2 linked regions of the Alligator mississippiensis genome follow. Each later gene encodes a partner of the first gene's protein in a complex. Links are inferred from orthologs where the notes say so. Each region holds a gene or a part of one and is shown on either strand. Other genes may lie near its edges.

Region 1 (7,495 bases):
ATGTTTAGGGACCCTAATGACGCCAGTATGAGGTACTAAATAAATGCACATTAGGTTGTGCTAAGCGCTTTTTAGGTGACACTTAATGTGCAGTAGCCTATTCTATTGCACATTAACGCATTAGCCTGTTTTTTAAGCACTGCTTTAATACACAGTAGAATAGGCTACTGCATATTAAGACACACGTGTAGATGCCCCCAGTGAGCCCTGTAATCACCATACTTCAAAAGTTGTCCTTCAGAAATCAGCACCTTAGAACACAGTGTGACAACTGTGTCAGCATGTCACACACACTTTTCACTAGCTATAGACATTTTTTAATGCCACACAAGCCACACTTACAGGGACCTTAGATGCCACTTATCCTAACATTTTTACAGTTGTCTAATTTTTACAGGGTTGATCTCAAATAAAGAAAACCCAAAATGTACTTAAAAAACCCCCAAACCTCATGTTTTTTTTATCCAAGGTCATGATTCTTTGAATGTGGCAGCATTCAAATGTGGCAGCACTATCTTCATAATGTCTTCATACTGCAGACACAACACTGTGACATAAATGTTATACAACTTCAAGGCTTTCCAAGGCCTACCTTTGTTCAGTCTTGCAAACTCTCTGAAATGGCAGCCTCCTGATGCATAGGCTGATTGAGGTTCTGGAACCAGACGTATGTGGAGACATGTGGAAGGAAGCACTTTCACTCTTACAGAGGGCTAACAGTTTTTTTAATTTAAAGTTTTCCTGATCAAAAATATGGTTTTATTAAAAATACAATTTTTCATTTGAAACTGTCAGTTCTGATGAAAATAAATCTATTTTCCTGTGGGAAATCAACATTTGTATTCCAGTTTTCCATGATAAAAACTAAAAGTAATGTTTAATTTTACATAAAAGGGAGTTATTTTTTTTAATCCAAGTTATTTTAAATTGAAACAAATTAAAATGATAGTTTTATTTCTAAATTTCAGTTAAAAATAAAATTAAAAAAAAAATGGTTTGAAATGTCTTGCATCCCAGACCACATCTATTGGTTACTTCTTTCCCTTTCCCTGTATTTTGGCAGCCAAGAGTTTTAAGCAGACTCAGAGACACAATTTACCTGAGCTTTCGGTGTCTGATCTTGTCCCCCAGAAGCCTTCAGTGAGAGCATTTGCATTGACTGTAGCGGACACAGACCTAGTCCTTAGTACTGAGCCTGTGCTACAAATGGAAACCACGCCAGGAGCAGCTGGAAATGAGCTTGCTCTCTTGCCTGCTTCTTTCTGAGTCTTCACTATATCACTAAGCATGATGTGCTAAGTTCACACAGTAACTGCCCTGCTACAACAGCGGGCTGGGCCTACTGATAAGGGAGACCTGCTTGGATTAACTTTTGAAATCCTGAAACTAATTGATGCAACCATTTTCTGGGCCACTGAAAAAGTCAGCATATCAAATTTATTCATAGGGCGCCCCCTCACCACAAGATTTGAGCAATGCACATTGACTCTAAAATAGTTCATCTAGTGCTGTAATGGGTAAAAAGGGTCCCTTGTGCGGTCTTTAAATGACAGTGGAGTCGTCCAGTGTCTTTATCCACCTGGTTAGACTCCCACTGTCCCACACATACCTAATGTGCACACACATGTACAATTCTTCAGGCTGTCTTGGGTTGGCATATGTATTCAAAAAGTAATTATATTTGCTGGACCTCCAAACTAGAACATCCTTTTTTATGAATGCCATGTGGTTTGGGGAGTGTGGATACACCAGTATTCTGGACAGCTTTGGGCATCTTAGAATTAGAGGCAAAGGAGTTAAAAGATTTGCGGCAGATGGGTCTTTCATGCTGGAGTTCAAATCTTGGAGCTGCGGGGGGGTTGATTTTGGATGGTTGGAAAAAGAGGAACAGATGGGAGTGAAAGGATATTCATGAGCTCATCTTCCACACCTGAACCATTCATTCACCTACCTGATTTTGTCTGTACTATTTTGTCATTTTCTTTTAACCTGGTATGGTTTTACAAGAGGATTTTTGGGGTGATCCAAAGCACGCCAGCTTGGCCAGCCCTTTTGTAGAGGGTGCCCTGGCAGGTGGCAGGGTAGGAGGAAAAATCTGTTGGGATGAAAGAAGCAAGACTGCAGTTTGTTGTTATTTCAGATCAGGCCGTTCTTTGGTACAAATTCCAGGGCCCTGTAAAATTCCATAGCTGAGTTACACTAGGGGCAAACCAGGCCCATGATTTGCAGATTCTTGTTTGCTTCAGGGGGAACAAGTCTTAGCGGGAAGCCTGGGTGGTATCTGAAAGGAACCGTTACCCACACCTCCCGGGTGGGATGCCTTTCCTCTCCTCTCCCACACCCATTCTGCATGGTACTGCCCTTTGTTGATAAGGCTTATGTGTGTAGTTCTCCGAAGCAAGGTCTCTGAATTCCAAGCTGGTGCAAAATGTGTGTCACACAATGGGGAAGTGCTGAGTCCCAGCTTTGGTTACCTAATGCTCACTGTGAAGGCATATGGCACTGAGGGCCAGCTGTGGAGCATGTACCTGCAGCATTCTTTACAGAAGTGAGGTTCCTCAGTGCTTGTTCTGTCTGTGTGTATCATGCTCACTGCTGATGTGTGAGGCATGTGATTTTGTGTGTATGCAGTATGCATATGAGAGCTGCATTACAAAGGTACAGGGTACTCATTCCCAGTTTTATATTTGTGTTGGGTATCATAGGCACTCATTCTCCAGTTGTGCATATACGTATGTGTGTATGATGTGCACTGCAGAAATATGTTGAATTCAGTCTCTCAATCTTTCCAGTTGCTCTAGTATGAAATTCCTTGCATTTTGTGGATATTCTCCTTACCTGTGTTGCTCAGCCTTTCATTCTGTGCATAGCTAGTTTCTCACCAGTTATGGCCAGGCAGGAACATCAGAACCACAGATAATCAGAGATCTTTAAAATGTTACCCCATTCAAATAAAGTCTATTGTGAACAAAGCACTCTGGACAATAACATACTCTGTCAGTCCTAGTCTTGATCCTCAATTCACATACCATGTTTCTTGATGCCATAAGCATGAAACCACAGTCATTTTGAAGGGGGAGCATGTGTTTAAGATACATAGCCATTCTGGCATCTGGAAAGGCACAACCTTTATTGTTCAGCAGGAAAGCAACAGCAAAGAGAATTATAGGGAAGATTCTGTAAGCTATCATAAAGCCATCGACGCAGTCGAGGTAACTCAGGTAGAAATCATATGTTCTATTTCTTGCCTCTACCAACAGGAGTCACTGAAAGCCAAAAACATGGGGTATTGCAATGAGGGTGACTGGACCATAACAATAACTGACAAAAAAATGAATTAGTTGGGGTTACAGTGGCATCGATCCTGTCCTCTGTCTGGGGGTTAAGTTGGGACTGTCACAGGACACCCAAGGAGCATCAGAACTGTAGGCAGGTCTCACACGGTATTTAAAGACTTTGATGCAATTGTCCCCAGTATCTGCTACTAAAAGCTGTCCAGAAGTGGAACAAGTCAGACCTGTTGGTTTCCGTAGCCCTTCAGACACCAGGCAGATGGGAGAACCACTCTTGGGGAACAGGTGGACTGTTCGGTGCTGCTCATCAGCCACAAGGATGTTACCTTCTATGTCAGCACAGACCCCAGAAGGGTTGCCAAACTGATGCCCATATTTGCTGCCAAGAGAGTAAACCAACTTGTGCTGGTTATTAAACAGCTTGACATCACCGCATTCCTCACTTACAAGAAATCCACCATCAGGTCCCAGGCTGACATAACGGGGTCCACAAAGGTTAGAGACCGTGTGAGTACTCAGTATCTTAAAGGCATGGTCCAGTGCAAAGCTGTGGACTTTTCCTTGAGTGTAGTCTGTAACCAGAATTTTTCCTGATGAGTCCACTCCAATGCCCCTGGGGGAATTGACCTTCCCAATTTTTATCCATTCTCCTTTGGGGAACCTGGAGTGATGGCTGAAGACACAGATGGCTCTGTTCAACATGTCAGCTACAGCCACCATCCCTGACCTTGTCACTGTCACATCTTCTGGCAAAAAGGCCTCACTTTCCCTTCCCCACTCTATGCATGGCAGGAGCTGCTGAGTTTGGCCTGAGCAACTAAGGATGTGGACACAGGGTGCATTTTCACTAGTTATGTAGATAGAGCCATCCAGTGAGCAATGGATTCCACTTGGTCCCCCGTAACTGCTGCCATTGGGGTTGGGGATCTGCTGCACCAGGTTATTCTGTCGATAGTAGAGGAGATTTTTGATGTTGTCTAAGTCATGACAGATGCCTTTGACTTTCTCTGCCAGCTGGTGGACTTGGTGCTCTGTCACCATGCCCATCCCATGGTGGTTGCTCAGAAGTGGGCTTGCCTTCTGGAGTGTAGTGTCTGATTTCACCTGGAGGGCATAAACAGTCTTCAGAAGTTTTTCTTTATGATGGGTGGCCTCCAGAGTATAGTCCATGGCTAATCTCCCCCCTGTTTGGAAAAGGTAACACAACCATTACAGTCCTCATAGAGCTATACATTGTGAGGACAGACTCATTCCTTTGGTGCAATGGAGTCTTTCCAGAGTTACACCCATATAACTGATATCAGACTCCAGTCCCTTTTTTGATGTATATTAAGAAAAAAAGATAAACAAAGACTAAGTTATCCTTGCAGAGCGACATCTGGTTCTCTCTAAAGAATAGGGCACCATACTCTGCATTGGAGTACCATATTTTCTCACATACCACACCTCCCCAAATAGAAGATAGAATGAAGAAAAAAAGATTTTTCCAGACTTATGGCTGCATAATCACCAGCCTGCACCCTAAAAGTAAACATCTTTGTTTTTTGGTTGTCATGGGAGACTTCAACTACCCAGACATCTCGTGGGAAGAGCACTCGGCTAAATCCAAGTGGTCGCAAAGCTTCCTCTCATGCGTGGATGACCTCTGTCTGACACAAGAAGTCTACAGGCCAATGAGAGGTAAAGCGCTGCTTGACCTGGTACTGGCAACCAGAGATGACCTCATCGGTGACTTAACAATCGATGGGAAGCTGGGTGACAGCGACCATGAGCTGAATACCTTCACCATCTGCCGTAAAGCTGGCAAAACAGTCAACAATACAGAAGTCCTCGACTTCAGGAAAGCTGACTTTGAAAGGTCAGGAGGCTTGTTGGTGAGGCCCTAAGGGACCATGACCCAAAGGGGAGGGGAGTTCAGGAAGAGTGGTTGCTCCTCAACGGAGCAATCCTGGATGCACAAGCTAATGCTATTCCAGCTCAGAGGAAAGGCAGCAAAATGGCACAGCAGCCCCCTTGGCTCTCCAGGGAACTAGCAGACTTCCTGTGGAAAAAAGAAAGGCCTACAAAGGATGGAGGATGGGATCCACCTCCAAGGAGGAATATTCCGCACTGGTCCGGACTTGCAGGGAGTGAACAAGGAAAGCCAAGGTTGCAACTGAACTCCAACTAGCTACAAGTATCAAGGATAATAAAAAAGTCCTTTTTTAGATATGTGGGGAGCCAGAGGAACAGCAAGGGCAACATTGGATCCCTGCTAAACAAGAAGGGACAACTGACAACCGATGCCCAGCAAAAAGCCAACTTACTAAATGGGTACTTTGTGTCAGTCTTTCATCAATTCCACGGGATGCCCCTGCCCATTACAGGACAGGGAGGCCCAGGTGAGGGAGATTCATTGCCCTCCACCAATGCTGAACTTGTGAAGGAACACTTTGAGAGGCTGGACACCTTCAAGTCAGCCAGCCCTGAAAGTTTACACCCCAGGGTACTCAAGGAGTTGGCTAGCATCATAGTTCAGCTGCTGGCACGGATCTTCCAGAACTCTTGGTGCTCTGGTGAAGTGCCCGAAGATTGGAAGAAGGCCAATGTGGTGCCTATCTTCAAGAAAGGGAGGAAAGTGGATCTGGCAAACTACAGGCCCATCAGCCTGACCTCTATCCTGGGGAAGGTCTTAGAAAAAATCATCAAAGAGGCCATTCTCAAAGGACTGGCTGATGGCAACATCCTGAGGGATAGCCAGCACAGGTTTGTTGCGCGTAGGTCTTGCTTGACCAATCTTATTTCCTTTTATGACCAGGTGACCTATCACCTGGACAAGGCAGAGGAGACTGATATTGTATATCTTGACTTAAAAAAAGCCTTCAATCTAGTATCCCACGATCACCTCTTGGCAAAACTGGCCAACTGCGGCCTCAGGTCCACCATGATTCACTGGCTGAAGAATTGGCTCCGTGGTCGGACCCAGAGGGTGGTGGTTGATGGAAATCAATCATCGTGGTGCCCTGTGACCAGTGGGGTCCCTCAAAGCTCTGTTCTTGGGCTTATGTTGTTCAACATCTTCATTAATAATGTGGACATTGGAGTCAGAAGCAGACTGGCCAAGTTCGCCGATGATACCAAACTCTGGGGTAAAGCATCCACACCTGAGGACAGGAGGGCAATCTAGGCTGACCTTGACAGGCTCAGGAAATGGGCGGATGAGAACCTGATGGTGTTTAACACTGAAAAATGCAAGGGTCTCCACCTTGAGAGGAAAAACCTGCAGTATCCTTATAAGCTTGGCAGTGCTACGCTGGCTAGCACTACGGATGAAAGGGACTTGGGGGTCATGATTGACCACAAGATGAACACGAGTCTTCAATGTGATGCTGCAGCTAGTAAAGCAAGCAAAACGCTGGCTTGCATCCATAGATGCTTCTCAAGCAAATCTCAGGGTGTCATTCTCCTGTTGTACTTGGCCTTGGTGAGGCTGCAGCTGGAGTATTGCATCCAGTTTTGGGCTCCACAATTCAAAAAGGTTGTGGAGAAGCTTGAGAGAGTCCAGAGAAGAGCCACACACATGATCAGAGGTCAGGAAAAGAGACCTTACGGCAACAGGCTGAGAGTTATGGGACTCTTCAGCCTGGAAAAGCGCAGGCTCAGGGGCAATCTGGTGGCCACCTATAAGTTTATCAAGGGTGTTCACCAGGATCTGGGTGAGCGATTGTTCACCAGAGTGCCCCAAGGGATGACAAGGTTGAACAGTTACAAACTCCTGCAAGACCATTTCAGGCTGGACATAAGGAAGAATTTCTTTACTGTCTGAGCCCCCAAGGTCTGGAATTGCCTGCCATCGGAGGTGGTTCAAGCACCTACTCTGAACGCATTCAAGAGAAAATTGGATGTTTATCTTGCTGGGATCCTGTGACCCCAACTGACTTCCTGCCCCTGGGGCAGGGGGCTGGTCTCGATGATCTTCTGAGGTCCCTTCCAGCCCTAATGTCTATGAAATCTATGAAATCTGATGCCCACAGCTGGCTCCTGGCACTCGCTAATCACCAGCTCACTCATGCTGCCTTTCCTGCTTACCCAAAAGCTGAAACCTGAGCTGCTGCTAAAGACTGGTCTCCATGGATGGATCTATGATTTTGAAAAGAGCTAAAAACAGTCTGCAAGTCTGTGAAATAGAAGAAACGAAACCAGGAATAGCTAGCAGATAGCAA
Region 2 (6,839 bases), on another chromosome or scaffold:
GATAATTTTTCAGGGCAAATTATTATTTGTGGAGGGTAGTTTTTGCAAAAATACTCCAGTTGTCTGTCAGAGGAACAATAGTAAGTCTTCTTTTTCAAACTGGATGAAATGCAAGACCTATTATGCTACATAAATAGCACTGGTACATTTCTAGTTTTGTTATTTGAAAAAAAAAGGTTCAAAGACTATCAAGTATTTTTACAAGGATAGTTTTATAAACTAAATGATTTGAACCTACTTTTGAGGCCAGTATGTTAGTCCCAATGAGAATAACCAGGATTCAGGAACATATGCCCACACAAGGTATAGCACTGTACAGAAGAAGTGAAGTTAGTATTTTGATCACAATGGTAAAATAAACATTATTTCAGAATTAAAAAACCCCCCAGTTCTAAGCACTTACAGTAGTGTCATTAGAAATCATTCAAATAATGAATGACAACTTGCTCTACAGCAGTAGTTCCCATAAGGCCTTACTAGACCATAAATGCCATATTGGGTTAGTCCAATGACTCGTATCTTGCCTCTGATGGATAAAGGAGTGGATGCTTTAGAGGGATAAATCTAAAGGCTGGAACAGGTATGTCTAAAGCAGAGGTGGGCAAAATGGTGGATCTAGCCGGTGGCTGGATTCTATTTTCCAGCATGCTGTGGCCCATTTCCGTGGAGATCCCAGCAGCTGTGGGCCTATGACAGTGTGTGACCAGGGTTTCCATGGAGACTGGCCCCAGTAGTGCTGGCAGGGTGTGTGGCAGGATGGGAGCTGCTCTAGGGCCAGGATCCTGTGGCGGCAACAGTATGGTCTAGAGGTGGGCAGAGTTGTGATCCACTTGATGTTCAACGTTTTGACCAGCCTGGTCTGGCGTGATAGACATCCTATCCCTGGCATCTACCATCATTGGTTTAGAGATGCCAGAGGATACACCTCCAATTGCTCTAATAACAGTTAACAGTTTCATCACCCACAAATTTGACTACTCCTTTTGAGCTTCGCTAGCCTCTAACCAGCATGTCCAAAATATCAGGGAGAAGGACAACCCCACAAACAGCATCATGCACACAACTCTTTGTAGAAGGCAGGGCAGCGCCTCAGAAACTAACCTGGGCTTTCAAGGGCAACAGTTTATTTTGGCAGATGCTATGAAGTAGCCTAGCAGTTCTCAACCTTTTTTAGACTTGAGGCACCCTCCCCTGCATCCATTTAGACTCAAGGCACCCCTTGGAAAATGTCAACGCTGAGCTTTTACTCCTTTCTTAATTACAGAAAGACAACTGAGCAAGTCTTCTCCTGCAGAGAGCTCAGAAAGCCCACAACAGGGGCAGAATGATTTTAAATGCATTGGATTACTGTCTGAAGTCACTGGGTTTATCTTGGTAATCATGTGCATGCACCTAAGAGTGCTACCTTTGCATGACACTCCAGCAGCATTCCTAAAGGGGTCACAGTAGCCCATGGTTGAGAACTACTTGAGTAACATCTCATAGGTCTCCAAATTAGTCTTTAAAGCTAAAAAAAGAGACAAGGGTTGATTCATAGAATCATAGAAAATTAGGGCTGGAAGGGACCACAGATCATCTAGTTCAACCCCCCTGCTCACAGCAGGACCACCCTCAAATAGATCATCCCAGCCAAAGCTTCGTCTAGCCGGGTCTTATAAACCTCCAAGGATGGAGCTTCCACCGCCTCTCTGGGTAACCTGTTCCAAAGTTTTACTGCCCTCCTACTGAGAGAGTTTTTCCTAATATCTAACCTAAACTTCCCTTGCTGAACCTTGAGACTGGTGCTCCTTGTTCTGTCATCTGTCACCACTGAGAACAGTCAAGCTCTATCCTCTTTCAAACCTCTTTTCAGGTAGCTGAAGGCTGCTATCAAGTTTCCCTCAGTCTTCTCTTCTCCAGACTAAATAAGCCTAATTCCCTCAGCTTCTCCTCACAAGTCCTGTGCTCCAACCTCTGACCCATTTTTGTTGCCCTCTGCTGGACTCTCTCCAACTTGTCCATCTACTTTCTGCAGCAGGGGCCCAAAACTGGATGCAGGACTTCAGATGTGGCTTCCCCAATCTTGACCCAGCTTTGCCTGATCTATCCAACAGCAAACCCCAGCAGCAGAGGAACAAGGTCCTGGTCATGCATAAAGTGTAGAGGCAGGTCCAAGGCACCACTCTTCACCGGGGCACCTGAGGCTGGCTTAAGGCAGGCAGTCTGGCAGGGCAAGGGGCGATTTCAGCAACAGAGACCCTCCTCCCTCTGAGCGGGAGGACCATGGAGGGAGAGGTGGCTGAAACAGGGGCCACAGACTAGACCCAGCTGGGCTTGCACCTGGGCCCGCCTGGCCAAGCAAAGCTTGGGGTTGTCCTGGACAGCATTGCCAGGTCCTAAATAGTAAATTATCATATTTGCTGAAAAACTATTGTACAGTGACAAATATGCAAATAAGCCTTCTTCTTTACTTCATATTGCTCACTGTAAGTCGCCAATAAGTCAAAAGTTGAAGCATTTCTTTATTGTAAGGCGAGCGCTGACAGTGAACCCAAACATCACTTACAATTCCCCGACAGTGACATGGGTTTTGCATCTGCTGCATCCATCCGCTACCTCAAAAACGATCGGACATTTTGAATACGCTTATTACCATTACTGAGTGCTCATCGTACAAGGGTTCCAATTATCGGAGAAACCGAATAATTATCGTGCACCCGGCAACGCCGGCCCTGCGGGGCCAGCTCCGGCCGCGTCTGCCCGGCCGGGCCCCGCCCTCGCCTCCCCGCGGCACCTACTGAAGCCGAACTGAGCGGCGAGAAAGAGCACGAAGCCGTAGAGCGCGCGCTCGGGCAGCGGCGACGGCGAGTTCTCTACCATGGCGGCCCGGTCCCGCCTCCGCGCGGGGGACTGACGTCACCACCTCGGGTCGAAGCCAGCTGACGAAGGAGAAAGGGTGGGGAGGCCGCTGCGCAGGCGCCGTCCCGCGTCCAATCGGCTGGTAACATCGGCTACGTCACCCCAGCCCGTTATGCCCTGCCTATAAGCGTCCTGCCGCTGCCTCTGTTCACCGCCTTACAGAAGTGTCGTCACCACCCGCGCATGCGCGAGAGAACCGAACCCTCCCCCGCCTTTTTTTTCCCCCCTCCTCTCGCGCGAACAACCGCGGTTGGCCCTTTGCGTAGGCGAGTGAAACCTAACACAATTCCACCCCGCCCCCCTTAGCCCGGGGGCGCTGCGAAGATCGATGCTTTACGTTCCTGACGTCAGAAGTCGGGCAGCCAATAGGGTGGCGGGAAGGGGTCCGTGCGCCTGGGGCGGAGTTGTTGTGCTGCGCCGCGGGAGCCCCACCCGTCCCTTACGGCGGCGCGGGCGGGAAGCGGCGGTGCAGCGGCTGCTGGGAGTCTCAGCCTTGAGCCGGTGAGTAGGGGTCCCGCGGGCGGCGGTTTGTCATTTCCTGTCTCTCTTCCCCCCCCCTCACGTTGTGTTGGCTTCGCGCAGGGCTGGGGCCCGGGCCGAGGCTGAGGTGGGATCTGGCTACAGCCCCCACGCCCCGTGGCTGTGGGGGAGCCCATTTGCCACGTGGAGGAAGGCAGGCAGGGGCTGCTCGGGTCAGGCGGAGGCTCCGAGGTCCTGTGGTCTCGGGTGCTTCCGCAAGCCTTGGCGTGAAAGATGGTTGGAAGCTACTTCTAGTCACTAGGCCTCTACAAACCCGGTTTGGGGAGCCGGGCTGATGTTTTTAGGGTGCGATGGGTGGCTTCGCCTGTGTGGCCGGTCTGGATTGCACAATTCCCCCGGGATTTGCGTGAGGGGGTGTACCGTGCTGGTTAAAGGGCAGTTGGTGGTGGGGGTGATTGCAGGCTACAGCTGTTTGTGGTTAGCAGAGGCAGCTGCTGAAGGGGCAGGGCATCCTTCCCCCTCTCCCCCTCCCCCCCATACGATTCAGCATCTTGCAAAACGGTGAGGGCCAAAGTTTCTTTGTGTAGATGTGATTATCTTTTATTAGATCGACTAAATACCCTGCAAAACTGTTCTTTGCAAGCTGTCGGGCACAAGCAGCCTTCTTCAGGCATGGGGAGAGTCTGTTGGTGTTTGTGTGCTGTCCTGGGTAGAAGAGAAGCCAGTGTGCAGATAGCAGGTCTGTGCAAATGCAAATGCCTGGCAGGGAGGATCAGAGAGAATGGGAGACAATAGGTGTGAATGACAATGGGAGACAGGAGGGTGGTTGGGGGAGGGGGAATGTTGACCTGGTGATAATTGTAGCTGGTAAAATGGTGTTTACCTGATGAAGGGTTTAAACCTAAAAGCTTGCTAAGAAAAGTTTTTCCAACTATTTAAGTTGATCTAATAAAAGACATCAGATTGAGCCAAAGATCGAGCCTTGTCTAGCTGGTTAAATGCAGTTTTTCCAGCTATCTAGTTGGTCAAATAAAAGAGATCACATCTACCCAAAGAACCTTGTCTGCCTGTGTTCTTAGACCAATACGGCTACAGCCAACAACCTTAGTGCCAGGATGGGTTTAAGTGAGAAATACCTTCTCCCTTGCTGTTTTTATTTTAATGCCTCTTGCTAGATTTTGATGAGCAAAGTAGATTATGCTGCTTTTTGAGAAGCTGTCTTGAGCCACTCTGGCTTTTTGCATTGGTTATGGGTTCCTGAAAAGGATTCTGTAACCCAGATCAGCTTTTTGTTAAACAGGAAGTGTTATAGCCTGCTGATCCAGGCCAAACTGAGAAAAATGTAGGCAGAGAGGGAGGCCAGCCACTCGGGGGAGGGGGGAAGTGAGCACAGAGGAGGGGCCTGAGGGGGAGAAAATGTTCACATCTTTTCTGAACCAGAACAGCATGTTGTTCAAGTAGCTTTGTCTGCTGTTGGTTTGCAAGCCCCTCACATGAATGAGTTTGGAATTTTTTGAATTGTTGTGGCTTTATCATCTTTATCACCTCATGCTCTCTTGTGAGTAGGTAGCAGAGTTGATTTCACCTTCTCTCAGGGTGATTTTACTGCCAGTGTTAGCAACAGAACTCCTTGGCTGTATCTCATGGGTTTCTGTTTTTCTTGAGCTGAGAACTTGGTGTTTATGAAGAAACAGCTGTTGACCTCTTTTTAAATTCTCATTCAAAAATTGCTATGGAACATCCAGGAAAAAAAAAAGCCAGTAGGGTGACCAGCTGTTCCTGTGTCATGGCCTGTAAACCATGGAGTTTAACTTATCCTTCCTGTGATGACCTTTTTACTCTTATCAGTGGACACAGGAAACATCTTTTTCTGCCTCAGAGAAAAGTACATCTCTAACAAGTGCTCTGTCTGCTGCTTGAGAGACACGAGGTTTGTGATGCACACTCCTTGGAGTAGTTCGTGAAGGTCATATTTAGTCTGGTACAGGAAGCAGTGTCCACAGTTCTTGCTTGGAGGATATCTTTAAAAAGTGCTCTGGCAAGCAGGCATTATACCTGATCTTAGAAAGGAGAAAATTAAACAAAAAAAACCCTCAATACTTTTGGCTCTGATACTAGGGTCTGCAGTTCTGACTAGAGTAACATTGGTACAGGCAATATTGATGCTGACCCCGGGAAAGGAATCCTGTGCTGTTGGCCTTAGGTGCTAGGTGATATACCTGTACCAAGTCTGAGGTGCATCTTGGAGCATATGACATGTTCATCCATAAGGTGAACTCAAGCCAAGAAAAATCTTTTAAGTGTCGCAATGTTAAGCGATGAGAGCAAGGGTACTGGTAATGCAGAGAAGGGGCAAGAGCAACCCAGAAGCTGTCACACCAGTGCCAACACCAGTTCTGAAATCTACACTGAGACTGAGACACCTTTAAAGAGGCACTTCTTTCCATATGATTGGCACTCGAATGAGCTAGAACCTCATTCAGTGGTATACCATACTTTTTGCTATCTCTAGGCCACTACTTTTCCCACACGCGGAACTGGAAGCGCGCTCTCGTGCGCGCGCGCGCTCTATAAAGGGAACTATCCCAAAGAAGCATTGTTCAAACAATGGATATCAAACAACAAGGATGCACTTTTTGTAGAAAACAATGATTAAATTGAGGCTTCCTGTCCTGTGATTTCAGCCATGATTTAAATTGATACGATTTAAATCAAATCCACTGTGGTGTTGTGTAAACAGTTATGGTACTTATAGTTTAAGGGATAGTTATGCAGGGATGGGTAGAGGGGGTCTCCTGGGTATATACAACCCCAGATAAATTTATCTAATGCTTTTACAGGTTGGTTTTTTATTCCTAATGTTTACTTGCATCCTGTTGTCAGTCATTGAGGGCATCTTTACATGCGCTGGGGTGGGGGGGCACTTTAATTAAGTGACTCCTGAGAGCCGCTCTCATTAAAACACCCACATCATGTTATATATTCAGCATGGCTCCTGCCACCATTTTGAAGTATGGGAACTCTGAATACATGTGACAACCTAATAGACACACTCCAGCAGACTCAATTAATCCAGCTCCATTAATTGAGCCTTAATTAGCACACACTGACTAGCTCCAGCTCTAATTAGCATGCTCCAGCAGACTCCATACTAAATGCAAGTGAACTTATTCAGGGCACCTACACAGGTGTCTGACCCATGTTCCGACACATGCTAATTAGCCTGTGTCAGAGTAGGTGGGCTCCTGTAGGTGCCCTGAATGAGTATACTTGTATTTAGTTTTCATTAGGTTCAGGAACAGCCTGTATTTCTCATTAAGTATTTTACTAACTGGAATTTTTGTTGCATTGCGTGTAGGGTTATAAAAGGTACTGACAGACACAGACCGTTTAAAATGTGGTTTGAACTGCAAGCATCTGGACATACAAGCCAGTTTAGAACAGCTTAACCTTCCTAAAAT

The links. Proteins that work in one complex are often made in the same cells at the same time.
Region 2: PIGQ (region 1) and PIGP share a complex: the UniProt entries of both Homo sapiens proteins name them as parts of the glycosylphosphatidylinositol-N-acetylglucosaminyltransferase (GPI-GnT) complex. The link is inferred for Alligator mississippiensis from reciprocal best matches to the Homo sapiens genes PIGQ and PIGP.

What each region holds. Positions count from the first base shown.
Region 1 is NC_081836.1:27,004,339-27,011,833, reverse strand, and holds the start of PIGQ (phosphatidylinositol N-acetylglucosaminyltransferase subunit Q), read right to left. Parts: upstream 3,014-7,495; 5' UTR 1,157-3,013; coding exon 1,100-1,156; intron 1-1,099. Other genes in the region: NHLRC4 (NHL-repeat-containing protein 4), read right to left, coding at 3,348-4,463. UniProt on the Homo sapiens protein: Part of the glycosylphosphatidylinositol-N-acetylglucosaminyltransferase (GPI-GnT) complex that catalyzes the transfer of N-acetylglucosamine from UDP-N-acetylglucosamine to phosphatidylinositol and participates in the first step of GPI biosynthesis.
Region 2 is NC_081824.1:295,040,206-295,047,044, forward strand, and holds the start of PIGP (phosphatidylinositol N-acetylglucosaminyltransferase subunit P), read right to left. Parts: upstream 3,008-6,839; 5' UTR 2,860-3,007; coding exon 2,778-2,859; intron 2,772-2,777; exon of another isoform or gene 2,589-2,771; coding exon of another isoform or gene 2,546-2,588; intron 1,508-2,545; exon of another isoform or gene 1,455-1,507; coding exon of another isoform or gene 1,406-1,454; intron 312-1,405; coding exon 239-311; intron 1-238. UniProt on the Homo sapiens protein: Part of the glycosylphosphatidylinositol-N-acetylglucosaminyltransferase (GPI-GnT) complex that catalyzes the transfer of N-acetylglucosamine from UDP-N-acetylglucosamine to phosphatidylinositol and participates in the first step of GPI biosynthesis.